Linked DNA regions of Styela clava. The protein of the gene in region 1 binds, or shares a complex with, the protein of each later gene. Links are inferred from orthologs where the notes say so. Each region holds a gene or a part of one and is shown in the gene's direction. Other genes may lie near its edges.

Region 1 (4,670 bases):
GACCGATTGAACCATGTACAGTCGTAACTCAATTTTTGGTACTTGTAAAAACTATTTTTAACTATGTCAGTATACGCAGTAATCAAAAGCTGTTTGTTGCAACTATACATTTAGAGCAATGAATATATACATCACAAACTGCTAGCTCAGTAGCTGGCAAGTTCTCTACTAAATCATTCCATAGGAAGAAATTGATTGAAGTTGTGCTTGAATCTTAACTTTCGGATTTGCTTATGTCTGTATGTTGACCAGCTCAGTTTTGTGAAAGCTGTTAAAATTTCAAAAACATAATTAATTCATAAAGTCTTCCAGTGACATTCAAATTCAGGAAATAGATCTTTTCGGTTTTCCATATATCTGGTTCCTGCTGCGTTTCTGGAATATCTCACACTTTAGTGATAGTAAATATTAATTGTTTATTTCATTTCAAATTCTATAGGATTTTGAATAATATTGGCATTTCATTTTAGAAGACATTTTAGTCTTCCACAAATCTACAAACTGATGCAAATTTGAATCCACCCTAACTTATCAGTAATTTTTTGTTTACTTTTATTGACATTTTAAGTTTATCAATTGGTTTATACTGAGATGTATGCATGTAAAATTCTATTAAGATATTTTGTACATTCATTCATTTCAGAGAATATGTCGTGATGAGAGAAATGGTATTGCCTAGATATTGTTATAATCATTAAGTTTAGATAAATACTCTACATAGAATGTTTATATGGAATTAGTTAATTGCAAAAAATATTTTGTTTACAATTTTATATAATTATGGCCTGTCCCAATGCCGATTCATAAAGTTTGAGTTAGCATACGTAATAGAATGATATTAATTCATTTTTTTCCTGTAACATAACATCTTGAGTGCCATAAATTTATTATAGTGCTTATATTAAACTTTATCGAGATGTTGCATTAATTAATTTACCAAGTTCGAGGCCAAGTAAACCCAATCTGCCAATATTATAACTCTATACTTACCTAGATGCAACAGTCGAAATATTTTATCAAAAGCATTTTCGGATATTTAAGTTAACTCAAATGCAAGATTTATAATTAGTTGCATGAATCTTGAGGTCCATTGTAGTATTGGTGTCTAATTTGTGGGATAATCTTCACCGAGGTTTTGAGTCATTGGGGAATCGTGGCTGTATGCTTATTGATATTGGGAATCCGGCAATGCCTTTATGTAGCAAGTATTAGATGGTCTATGAATATGTAGTGTGTAATGATCATTTTATTAGGACTATGTAATTTTATTGTTTTTGCTTTCATCTGAGTTTTGTATATGAGTTCATGAACTATATTTTTTATCATTTGTTCATCTTTGTATATTGCCCGGAATGACTGACTTGGTTTTATCCCGTTACACTATTGAATGATAAACATTTTACTTTTATCCTACATTATTATTACAACAATTTGTGGTCGATAAACCAAAATAGTTTCTCTCCACCGGATAAATATGTAAATCTTGTTATTACCATAATTCAAGTTCTCTATGTTCACTTAGGTTGTAAGTCCATGTACCTGGAAATGGAATGATAGCCAGGGGTTTACATAAGTCCTTGCCTCCTTGGGATGAATTTGAAGAATACTATTTTATATGAAAGCGAATGCTAACTTTAATTGTTTGTATATTTACAGCATTATAATTTCCAATTTTGATTTTGTTTGGTTTTATCTAAAATGGCAACTGGATCAGACAAGAAACGAGACTATCCTTCAGAAAAAGGTGAATTTTTTTTTTCTTTTAATTTAGAATACCGGAATTACATGTAAGTATATATTTATCATATGTTGAAATGAAATACCATATCCTACTTCAAGTACAAAAATTTGTTCAGCATGTATTGTAGATAAGTAACTGTGTTTTCAAACAAAAATGATTAATCCATAATTTTATCCAAGGTGTGAAGTTTATGTCAAGATGACTAACGTCTACCGTCATTATCAAAAAAACTAGACAGCCTATCAAATTGCTTCAATTGTTATGTAAATTTTTTGTTCGAAATGTGTTCAAGGAGGGAATCGGCACAAGTTTTTTATAGCTTTATTAGTCTATAACATTTAAAATAAATTAATAACATTAAACTATAGCCAGGGATTCCATACCGTCCTTATTTCTAAGATTTGTCCTTATTTTTGGCTCGCGTCCCTATTTTTGGCTTGCTTGTTCTTATTTTGGTGGCATCATAAAAAGCAACACAATCTTATTTGGAACACAAAGAAGCAAGGCACAGATAGGCATGAAGCTTTGTTAGTGTGGCGATCCTTAGGTTTTGTCGTGGTGGTGGTTATTTTAGCTTAAATTTAAAAATGAGCAAACGTAAAAACGTTTTTCGCGATGAATAAGGGAAAAAAATTAAAGTTAAACAAAGCTTGAAGGGTGAGTGCTTCGCACACCGTGATGTCTGTAATTGTGACATTAACCTGGAGGCCATAGGAAAGCCAGCTATTTCTGCTCACAATGCAGAAATTTTTCCAGTCTTCCTTATTTTGGGTTCCAGATTGATGGAATCCCTGACTATAGCAGTTAAATATAGATACAACTTCATTCGATTAGGGTCAGATCTATGTCTGTTTCCCATCACATTGTTATGCAAACCTTAATTTTGAGACACTTGAAACATATAAATTAGGTACCCCTAACGATGTTATATTCAGAAAAGTACTTCCTTGTCATAACAATAACTTCTTCCGTTTATTTAATTCTGGGGTTAAATTCACAGACTTTGCTGAATTTAACTATGGCCTGCTGATATAAGTATCCCACATTTATGAGGAGATTTTAATAAAAATTAGAAATATCCGCTTTGCTTTTGACTATTATTGGGTTAACGTTTTCTATCTAATGGTGGCCGTAATTGATAAAGTAAATGTTCAGGAAACACTATACACCACTGCAGTTCCGCGTGTTGGGGATTTATTGCGCAATATAAGGCTTCGCCACCGACTATTCAATATCGCCACTTTACAACTGACACTCGGGACATCTACGATTTTGAAGACTTCACGAAAAAGTTTTAACGCCCGGCTGCCTTAACACAACAAGAAACGTTCGCGCTCACTCGCTCTTAGCAAACGGCGGCATTTTGTCGAATGACATCACCTGTGGGATCCTCTTTTCAAAATTGTCGTTGGTTACTTCGATTGGCGATGAAAGCGAGACGATCTATCGTCTTCGGTAGATTAACTTTGCTAACCGTTTTATGTCAATCTAGTGTTTCAGGACTTGAACATAATGCAATTTAATATCGCGAGTGTTCAAAGGGTCAATATAAAGTACCTAAAATTCTCTCAAATAAGGCCGTGCCCATCAGCCCGTGTCTGTCTTGTCAGTTTTTTTGCAAGCTTTGGCGACAAAGTACCTTAGACTTAGCTACTATCCTCCGCGCTCGTAGCTTGCAATATATTTTCGTTCGGCGACTCCGCTTCAATTTGGCAATATATTAGTAGCTTGCGGTATCTCATGACGTATGTGCAGTGATGGCAGGCCAATTCTATGACTATTACTCAGGGAACGCAAGAGGATAAAAGATTTTAATTACTACGAAGCCTACAGCTGTTTGCGCGTTCTTCTTCGCACGGTACGCTAGCGTAAACCTCGCCTTATCGTCGTGAGTGGCAACTGGTTCGCTTCGGTGCTCACTAGTTAGGCGTAGGGCGTTCACAGATTATTAGATAAGAGACGTCAAAAGTATCCTATGTGCAAGAAAGGTAAAATATTGCCAGGATATAATGATTTCGAAAAATATCGATTCAGTTTAGTATGTAGTATGTAGAATGTTGAGGTTCGTTTTTCGGTTGGCAAAAAACTACTTGAATTCAGTTGCCAATAAACATATAAACGACAAACAGAATATAAATTCAAGAGTTTATGCGTAAATTATTGAAATGGGTGGTTTTTAGAAACTGATTAAAAAAAATTTGGAAACTTAGTGAAGTGAATTACCTCGCAGTGTGATATATTGGTGTCGGAACTCGGCAGTATATTAAACAAACGAGACTACATTTTATTTGATCGCATTACTAAAAGGAATATAATTTTACTACTCGGCGTCTTTTGAGGAGCGCAGTTTGTTTCTTTATTTCTCTCACTTATTTAACGGTCGCCTGGGTAAGTTTCATGGTTGAAGATCTGGGCAATGTTTACATTCCTGAATTGAATAGGACGAAGAGCGGCGTGGAAGGACGTTTGAGCCGTGATATCTCGTTTCCATTACGAATCCAGATAGGTAGAATAGTTTGCCGTTGTCACGCAATGGAACGTTGCTCGGATACTTATTTCGTCATTGGCTCGATAATTCGAATTTCCCTATTCAGCACGTGTGAAGTTAAGGAGCAAAAATCCCGAAAACTCAATTTCTACCAATTTCTTATATATTTCAAGTTTAAATAATTACGTTTAGATAAAGTTAAAAGATTTTTGGGAGAATTTTGTCAAGACGACGGATCTGGAAAGTGCTTCAAATATGGAAAAGCTTTGGTAAGTTTTTTTTATTTAAATCAACTTAATGTAATTTTTGGCAGAATATATTTACTCCCAAATTTTGACTCTGATCGTACAAACTAACAATTTTATTCCAGCTCGTTTCAATGGCTTTTTTAACACATACGTTGTTGCCAAAGCCGATGAAATTTTTATGAAGTCTGGTTCT
Region 2 (4,670 bases), on another chromosome or scaffold:
AATCATTTGGTATTTTACGCATCGAAATGTTCAAGTTTACCGGTGCTGCTTTCGAATGTGGCGATAAGCTTCGTATGCTTAGTTTAGTTTAGCCAATTAGTTTATCTATATTAAGCTTAAAACTTAGATATAAAACAGGTATGGTCTACTTTAGTACCGTTCGGACTTATTCGCTACCGGGAATCAATGGAACTAGATTCGAATTATCTCATCCTAACGGGGAATTTCAAAATGTTAATGCCGGTACCGAAACTGAGTTCATGCATCTGAAACGAATAACTGACTGACTATTCCTATAACCAACGTGGACCGGTAGCCGGACGAGATGCCGCGGTTCGCCATATGAATTAAAGTTAAACCGTCTCGTCGGCTTTTTTCTACCAGAGATAAATGTGAAAATCCCATCCATCTGCTACTTATTGTTTGAGTTATATATGCAAAAGTATTTTCCTCCATGTTATTGCCCGAGCATTTATTATTTTCCAATCTGTTGTATTCAATAGGCTCGGCAGTGTGCTGCATCGTGCTAAGCGTTAGGAATACCTTCGCCACTTCCCCCTTTGATTACCCTGCGTGGGTTCGCAGGTTATGTGTGAGAGGATTGCTGGACTCCTCGCCGCCGTAGGGTGGTTCACGTAATCGCCTGTCGGTTACGGCTTCCTCTACCATCAAGTCCATGCTTTCGGAAACAAATAACTAGCTAACTAACCGCATACCCGACATAGGATAGTAACCAGACGAGAAGCCGTGGTTCGCCATATGATTACGCCGTCTTATCGGTTTTCCTCTCCCCGGGATAAATATGTAAATCCTATCCCATAATTACGGTACATTGTAAGCTCATTAAACAAACTAACTTGTTAGGTTATAATTTAATTTACACGTTTCTCGCAATAAATACTGTTACGTGAATAATATAATCGTGAAAACGGCTGTTTTGTCGCTATAATTCAGTGAGGCTACGCGGGCAGGATTATTTCACTCCGCGGGCCGTAGGTTGCCGACCCTTGTCGCAGGATATATGAAAAAATTATTTGTCATCAAGATGTGAAATGAATAAATGTTCAACTATTTCCATATCCACCTGAACGGAAGACCGTGGTTCACCATATGATCAATTAAGCGGTATTATCGGCCTTTTCTCTCCCCGGGATAAATATGAAATTCATAACCCAACATACGGTACGCTGTTGAGAGAACCGGTGAAAAGCGCGGATAAATTCATGCGGCTCACTTCTGACACTTAGTGGTCAAAATTTAGGGCGCCAAAATTTAGACCAATATAGGGAAATCCCCTGACATTTATTTCTCAAAAATTGAAGTATTTCATTTTTGTCCAGGCAGCTGGGGCTATAAAGAGTTACTGAGTCAGGAAGAATAGCGGCACCATACTGCAGTACTGCCATAAGTTAGGCTAACTGCTTAATTATGTACAAACAACCCCTCATTAGAGATTAAATTTTGGGAATAAAACAGCACCGCTGATCTGAGAAGGGCCATGCAATTTAGGATAGATCCGATAGGATAGGATTTACATATTTATCCCGGAGGAGAGGAAAGTATGGGATTAGTTATCGGTATATGGTTTGTTTTCGGAAGCATGGACTTGGTGGTGGAGGAAGCCGTAACCGACCAGCGGTTACGTGAACCACCCAACGACGGCGAGGAGTCCAGCAATCCTCTCGCACATAATCATCCCTGCATGGGATTTGAACCTGCGAACCCTCGCAGAGTAATTAGAGGTGCGGTGGCGAGCGTATTCCTAACGCTTAGCCCGTTGAGCCACACCGCCGCGCCATTTGAAATGCAGAAGGTCATGTAGAATAGCAAACAAGCAGACTAAAACTTATTCCAGTATTCATCACCATGCAGACATGTGAAAATTAAAGATAAATTTGAAGAACATTGTTATTTCTGTATTCACAGGCGAAGGAATTTGCCGCATTTAGCCAAAAAAAAAACTATTAAGCTAGGAGTCTCACAGAATACAGAAATAAAGCATCAATATCAACAGCTCAATAGCAAAATTAGCCAGTTAGACTACAGCAGTTATTAAGCTTCAATTGACTCTTATTTCAATATTTAATGGCTAAATCTAAAGCTGCCCATTTTATTTTCAATTTGTAGGTTTGAGTTAACTTATCACTTCTGCACTTGGTGCGGTATAGCTTTCTTCGATTATTTATACTTGAATAACAGCAATAGGCTACGTGTATATAATGGCTTCTGACAAGCCTGTGCAATGGCGGACACCGGATGGTGTAATGAGAAGAATACGACTCAGGAAATTACAAAGTCAAAACGTGAGAAGAGCATCGTTGTCAAACCTATCTCTAAACAACCAAGGTTAGTATTTCTTGACCTACAATTTCTCTGAACAAGGCTCGGCACTAGCGAATCTGATATGTCAGTATGTTGAAATTACAAATCAAAACAGAATAATGTTTGACGAAAATTGACTCAGCGGCATCCATTACACTAAAATGGACTATATTGAAATATTTTTAAATTTTTTTCAGAAACCTCTAACGCTAGTCCATTGCTCATGAAGAAAAATGATTCAGAAACTTCTTCAGTTAAACGTCAGAACCCATTTGCAAAAAAAAGGCCGGCTTCCGAAAGCGCAGATGTGAGTGTGTGTTATAGTCTATATGAGTATTTTAAGTTTCACAATATGTGGTTTTAACAAGTGTTTATCAACCTATCGCAATTGGGTCACCTGCAAATTTTCTTGGGTCGCTTGTTTTTTTAACAAAAACCTAAACATTTACTAATTTATTATCCAATAACTTTTGTTGATAAACATGGTTTTTCCCTGAATTAAAATAATCATTAGTTTATTCATATTTATTTCACAACTTTCAGGCAATCAAGAAGAGAATTTTATCTTCTTCAGAATACGAACGAAATGTTGAAAATATTCCTCAGAAAATACCGCTGAATCAGTCAGATGAAATTTTGAAAACCAATGAAGGTCTGTATGTTGTTTCATAAACATACAAGGATGTAATACCTATCTTAGTTGAGGAATACGCTCGCCACTGCGGCAGGTCCGAATCTCATGCGGGGATATTCATGTGCGAGAGGTTTGCTGGACTCCTTGTTGCCGTAGGGTGGTTCATACAACCGCTGGTCGGTTACAGATTCTTTCGCCATCAGGTCCATGTGTCTGAAACAAATAAGCTGGAGAGGATTCTTGGACTCCTCGCCGTTGTAGGGTGGTTCACATAAACGCTGGTTAGTTATAGATCCTTCCACTATCAAGTTCATGTTATGAGAACAAACGACTGACTAACTAATTCTATTCCTGACTGGTAACCGGACGAGAGGCCACAAGTCGCCATATGATTGAACTGTCTTATTGGGGATGGATAAATATATAAACCATATCCTCTTAACTTACCAAATTTATATTCCAACCACATTCAGGCACATATCAAAGCAATACCAACAATTCAAACTCCAGTCACATCATCTCAGACTCCAACCACCACAATTCCAACCAAACCGAAGCCAAAGATCCGGCAATGCCGTTTGTATATTTGGAAGAAGACTCGATCCAAGGCATATTTACTAACACAAGAACCGAAGCGAATACGCTGGTCGGATCAGAGACTTTACCAATGGATTGGACAATCAAACGTAAAGCTAGATTCCTGTCAAAGTCAACGTTCGCTTGGTGCAGTAGGATAAAAGGTATGTACCACATGTTGTCTTGGCTCTAAGTTTTATTTTTGAGTAAGAATTTTTTTGAATATTGAACTCTCAATTGATTATAATTGTGGGCACTCCCGAAGTATGTGAAACAAGATGGCAGACGCCAGAATGTGTACCAGGTTGGGATTAGGCCATAATTTTATTCCAATTTTCCTTATTTTAGTTCTATTACGAGTTCCAGGACTAGCCAAGTGACTCCTGTAGTATTTGTAACTAAAATTATGGCCTAACCCTAACCTGGTACCCATACTACGTTCGCAACGTTCCGATGTCCGCCATCTTGGTACCGAATTGTGTACAGTAGAATTGTGTTACCAAATCAATTCGTTTCGGAAACCGTTTTGTAAGTGAAGTTTCTACTGTATGTGGGAAACTTGGCAGTGCCTATTTTACCATGCCTCAATTTTTAAAACTTGCTAATGGCAAACATTATTGCAACTACCGGTATGTAATTTATGATGATGTCAAATGATTGTTTTGTATTATAAGTATAAGTTTATTTCGACTCCATAATCAGCATAACAATAAAATGATTGGTAAAAAAAAATAATTGAAAACTGATTATGGAATCGGGAGAGTTAACGAAACCTTAGATAAGGTTTAAAACGTACAGAGTGTATACAAGATGGAAGGTTTTGCCAAGAAGATGTGGTACGTGTTCACTCACCTAAAATAATTGAAATATTTCACACACGCACCCACACACACAACCATACAGAAGTTATAAATTACATACGGGTAGTTAAAAAAAGGGAATAAATAAAAATTACTTGCCACATCATATTTTTAAATTTATAACGTTATTACATTATTTTTGTGATCAACAGCATGTTGTTCAGTATCAGAGCATATTCTTGGGTCGCGAGATTCTACAAGAGAGTGAGAAAGTTCATTCCTTTCGTCAAACCATGAAACAAGCAAATATGCAAAAATATATAGATAATGAATTGACA
Region 3 (4,670 bases), on another chromosome or scaffold:
TTTTATGAAAACCTGAATCCTGAGGGCTATTCTTGACAGTAACTATTGAAAATGTTCGTTTTTTGAAAGCATGGTCTCAATCATTTGAACCTGAGTGCCTTGGACGCTTGAAATTTGAGTGAAATAAAAGAGCATTAGTAGGGTTGAAGGGACTTCGTGAACCTTCAAGTGTGAATGGTTTGTTTATTAGGAATGGGAATTTTAAAAGACAAACAATAGGCTATAATAGGGGTACAAAAGGGGTATAAAAGTTTTTGACAGTTCAACACCATGTGTGGTACGTTATCAGAGAAAATGTGAGATTTGAAAGGATTTGTATAGATGAGGCTTGTCTGCAACTGTTGATTATTCAAACGCTGCAAGAAGCAATACATAATCATGGGCACTTAAAATCGAAGCTGCTTTCCATTTGCGGGGGACCTCAATCAGACATATAAGAGCAGTTGCACCAGGTCTGCCATGAGATAAAGAAGTTCATTATTTTATGACTCATGTCATAATTCTGCAGAATGCGTTATTAAACTATCTAAAAAAAAAAATTTTAATATCTGTAGCCAACCATATTTTAAGCAGTAATTGTTGTAAAAATATTGGATTTCAAGACTTTTAAATAACATTTTCAGTATCAACACTTGAAACAGTGGTTGGTCAATAATACAGATTATAGTCTGTAACAGTTCAATAAATTCATAAAATTGATACATAAATATTGGTGCAGAAGTAAGCAAGTGGTGGTAAAGTTATTTTAATGGTGTAACCACATGTGATCAACTTTACCTTGCTCTGACGATTTCTTGGTCTTTTAATCAGAGACAAGCTATCCTGGAGGTTGCAGCCAACATTCATTTGGAAATGAAGAAAATTTTGTCGCATCTTCGGGATTTTGCGCTTAAAATTCATCTTTGGTATTAGTGAAACTTACTAAGATTAAATGGAGACTAGTTTCAGACTGACCAACAGACAGATCAATTTAAGGTTTATAGAGTCTGAGAGTAGAATAAACTTGCACATGAATAAGATGAATTACCTGTCAAGTACACGCATTTAGTAAGAGCAAAACATTTGGTCGACGCATGACAGTCGGCCATGGTAAAATAAAGTCCAGAAAGATTTGGGAAAATCGATTGTTACTGTATACCAGTATTCATTCATTTGTTTTTTGAATAACTTATAAAAACAAATAGATTAAGTGTCAGTGTTTTTTGCCAGGGTATTACGAGTAGTTGGTGAAAATAGTGTAATTATTGGACAATTTCAACCAAAATGAAACAATCTGTATGAGAGTGATACAATTCACGCCCGTATTTTTTTGTAAAATGACAGGGTGTAAAAGTTTCGAACACATTGCGAACACGAAAAAGTTCGTAGAGTCGTTACTTTCCAATCGAAATGTTGGATATTTCTGAAAATAATACGGGCACGTTATGTCTCCTAATCGACGACGAGAGACGACCGCTTGCTTTACGTTTTCTTCACGGGTCACTAAGAATGTCCAACAACAAGTCGCGCGATTTTTTCGACGTCTTGTTGCTGTTTTCTTCTGTCGGTCGTGTTGGTTGGATGTGAATTTATGAATTAAGTGACAGGTTGGAATGACAGGATGAGTTGTCTATCAAGGGAAAGTATTTATGAAATTTACATTTATTAATGAACTTTATGTAAGTTAAGCATGCATTTTGTGTTAGGTTTAGAAAAAGTCAAGTGGCAGGAATCGACTGCAGGACAGTTATTTCGACATCTGCGCGAAAATGCGACCGTGGGCCAAAGTTTTTCCCTTATTTGTCAAAGTTTTCTCTTTTTCATCACCTTCGAAAATTCATATGGCCTGTTGCACATGGAGTTTTGGCGTTCGTACAATCCTTTTATTGAGAATCTCCTAATTTTTTTCCTTCAAATAAAAATGATTGCTTGGTTTGATTTTGCATGTGACAATACAGCAATAAATATCGTACAGGAGTACAGCTGAATGTCATCAGGACATGGTGAATCTTGGTCATTTCAGGGCTGCTGCGCCAGAAGGAAAACCACATTTTTGCTCCAATCTATTGTGTCTCAATTGTTTCTTTCCCTATATAGATTTTTTCCAAATCATATATAAAGATTTCTACAAATCCCTAATTTGTTTAATTTCTTTAAATTATCCATTGTTTTTTTATTTTTAACTTGTTTTAAATCGCAGTCTCATAATGACCAGTTCTGGTCCCAACTTACTGTCAATTTCTGAACTGCCGGTAAATGCTTTTTATGGGTACATTAGGTTGTTCAACTGTGTCTTGGCCAGTAAGGCATTGAACATGTATCCCCTCTCTGTTATACTGTTTAATTATTATGTGGATACTTTCACATTTTTTGAGGCTTATGAACATACATATATGGCCTATTAAGATTTAAATCTTTGGTTTACACAGTAATAACAAATATTAGATTGGCTGACCAAAATGTCCCACAGGTATGTATATAAAATATTTTTTCCACTGCAGAATAAAATAAATCTGTTTCATTTTAATGAAAACTTTTGAGCTAAGCACACCTTCAGTCTGCAATATAAATTGAAAAGTAGCTGTTCTAGATTCGAATGGTCTTGAAAGCCTTCTATAATGTTTGGTGAGAAAGGCTTAGAACTCATTAGAGACTTGTACAGGAATAAAGATGGACCGATAACGCCTTACAATGTGAGTTTTTTTAAATTTCACTCACACCTTTAAGGCCTAATATGAGCAGCAGCCTGCTAACTTTTAAATTCAATATATTTATATATAAAAAGTTTCTTTGGTAACAAGGCTGTGGTATTTTCATCGGGTGTTTACATATCTTGGCTCCGAACAAGACTCATTACAGGCAGTTGCTATGTTTCAGGTTCAAGTGAACCTTATAAATTTCATTGTACACTTGGTGAAAGGATTGGCATTGGATTTGAACCCTAGCTGTGAGAGTTGAAAAGTCTCTTCTAATGTTTTGCTTATTGTTATTTTGCAGGAAGATGGAGTTAGACAAGTACTAGAAGAAATGCAAGTTCTTTACGACTCTAATCAAAAAGATGTGTAAGTTGGACAATGAATGGAACCTATTCTACCAATCAATATTCATATATGAGAGTTGCCTTAGCAACATCACACATATAAAGCAAATAAAAAATAATGTTATGGTAAAAAGGTGTCCATAGTATCAGAGATTATAAAAGATATGCCCATTGGAAGTGAAAACAGTATAGCATATGGCATTCTCATTTGTCAACGAGGTTAATAAAGAAATTCAAATCAGTCTGCTGTGGGTTAGTTCACAAGTATCATAAGCATGGTCTACTCTTAAAACAAATTTTCTTATTCGAATTAAAAGATTAATTAATAAGATATGATCTCCTGAATATACTTATGTGTCGTACAATAACCTATTTGATTTGAACAATGTTTTTTAATGCCAGTGCTGAGTTAGTGAATCCAGATTCAGATCGAAGTAAAATGGCAGCAGTTAAAATACGACACAGTGGATTGGAACGAAACAAGCGTTGCCTGCTGGCCTATTTGTATGTATTATTTTGCTTAAAATATCTGTGTATAACAATCTGTTGAAGTCCTTTTAATATTAAAATTGAAGATTTCAAAACATTGACCGGGCTTGATAACTAGTACCTGACATGACTTTAGGGTGATAAATAAGCCCCTTACATTCTCTTAAGTTACCAACAAGCTATTTTGTCAGATTGCAACAGATGAATGCAGATGCAAAAATCATTTTTCAGGTATAATAGACTTCATAAAATCAGAGATATGAGGTGGGAATTTGGTAGTGTTTTACCTCCAGAAATCAAGAGTAATTTATCGGAGAAAGAAGTGAGTATAATCTATACATGTAGGCTACTTAATTGTGCTTTTTCATGTTTGTATCAATTTCAAAATAATTTTTATCTAAATAATTTTCAAGTATATTTACTAGTTTATCAATCATATAGCATAGTAATAAGCTATATTTGTAAATACTCCGAAACAGCTATGAAGTACTGAAATAGTATTTTGTAATTGGAGTAACTAATTTATAACAAAATGGTTTTGTGACCTATGATAAAATATTTCTTACCAGGTTTATTTCAATATAATGCTTTTGTCATAATTAAATATTATAGTCATTCACAGATTCGTTGATTACAATCACCATCAAAACTTTGTACGAAATGCCATTGTAAGTATGTCAATGAGTCTAACTCCAGTTGGCAATAAAAGTTGTGTTTTTCTATCAAATCAGATTCAATGGTTTACGAGATACAACAGATCTCTTGCCAACTACATGCGATCCATCGGTGGAATGGGTGGTCTTGATCTAACACAGGTTGGTATCAAAGATGGATAGCAAAACCAAATCATTTACTCTTCTAATTTTAGATTATGGAATATCGAATATGTACTGGATTGGTGGAGTAATTTTCAGAAATTATTGTGAATTGGATTTTTTATGCAAAATATTTGAGATATGATTGAATTCGATTTTATTGCGGCAGAAGTTGAATTAGTTCATGTCAAATGCTTATAATGAGCGATAAATTTCCAAACAGGAATAATTTAATTTACCGCTTTAAATTATATATATTGAATACTAATTTGAATGCTTTCTATCTGAATATTTCTAAATAAAAGTAAAGAATTCTTTCCATAATAAAGCTGTGTGTATATTTTTTC

The links.
Region 2: DNA replication licensing factor mcm7-like (region 1) and protein downstream neighbor of Son-like share a complex: the UniProt entries of both Homo sapiens proteins name them as parts of the replisome complex. The link is inferred for Styela clava from reciprocal best matches to the Homo sapiens genes MCM7 and DONSON.
Region 3: DNA replication licensing factor mcm7-like (region 1) and DNA replication complex GINS protein PSF1-like share a complex: the UniProt entries of both Homo sapiens proteins name them as parts of the CMG helicase complex. The link is inferred for Styela clava from reciprocal best matches to the Homo sapiens genes MCM7 and GINS1.

What each region holds. Positions count from the first base shown.
Region 1 is NC_135256.1:12,816,941-12,821,610, forward strand, and holds the start of DNA replication licensing factor mcm7-like, read left to right. Parts: upstream 1-1,650; 5' UTR 1,651-1,698; coding exon 1,699-1,744; intron 1,745-4,421; coding exon 4,422-4,498; intron 4,499-4,670. UniProt on the Homo sapiens protein: Acts as a component of the MCM2-7 complex (MCM complex) which is the replicative helicase essential for 'once per cell cycle' DNA replication initiation and elongation in eukaryotic cells.
Region 2 is NC_135250.1:31,953,975-31,958,644, forward strand, and holds the start of protein downstream neighbor of Son-like, read left to right. Parts: upstream 1-2,131; 5' UTR 2,132-2,219; coding exon 2,220-2,346; intron 2,347-2,519; coding exon 2,520-2,629; intron 2,630-2,865; coding exon 2,866-2,974; intron 2,975-3,429; coding exon 3,430-3,696; intron 3,697-4,670. UniProt on the Homo sapiens protein: Replisome component that maintains genome stability by protecting stalled or damaged replication forks.
Region 3 is NC_135253.1:5,303,932-5,308,601, forward strand, and holds the start of DNA replication complex GINS protein PSF1-like, read left to right. Parts: upstream 1-1,938; 5' UTR 1,939-2,597; coding exon 2,598-2,672; intron 2,673-2,976; coding exon 2,977-3,041; intron 3,042-3,421; coding exon 3,422-3,523; intron 3,524-3,739; coding exon 3,740-3,830; intron 3,831-4,239; coding exon 4,240-4,323; intron 4,324-4,670. Other genes in the region: uncharacterized protein LOC120326422, read right to left, coding at 778-900. UniProt on the Homo sapiens protein: Required for correct functioning of the GINS complex, a complex that plays an essential role in the initiation of DNA replication, and progression of DNA replication forks.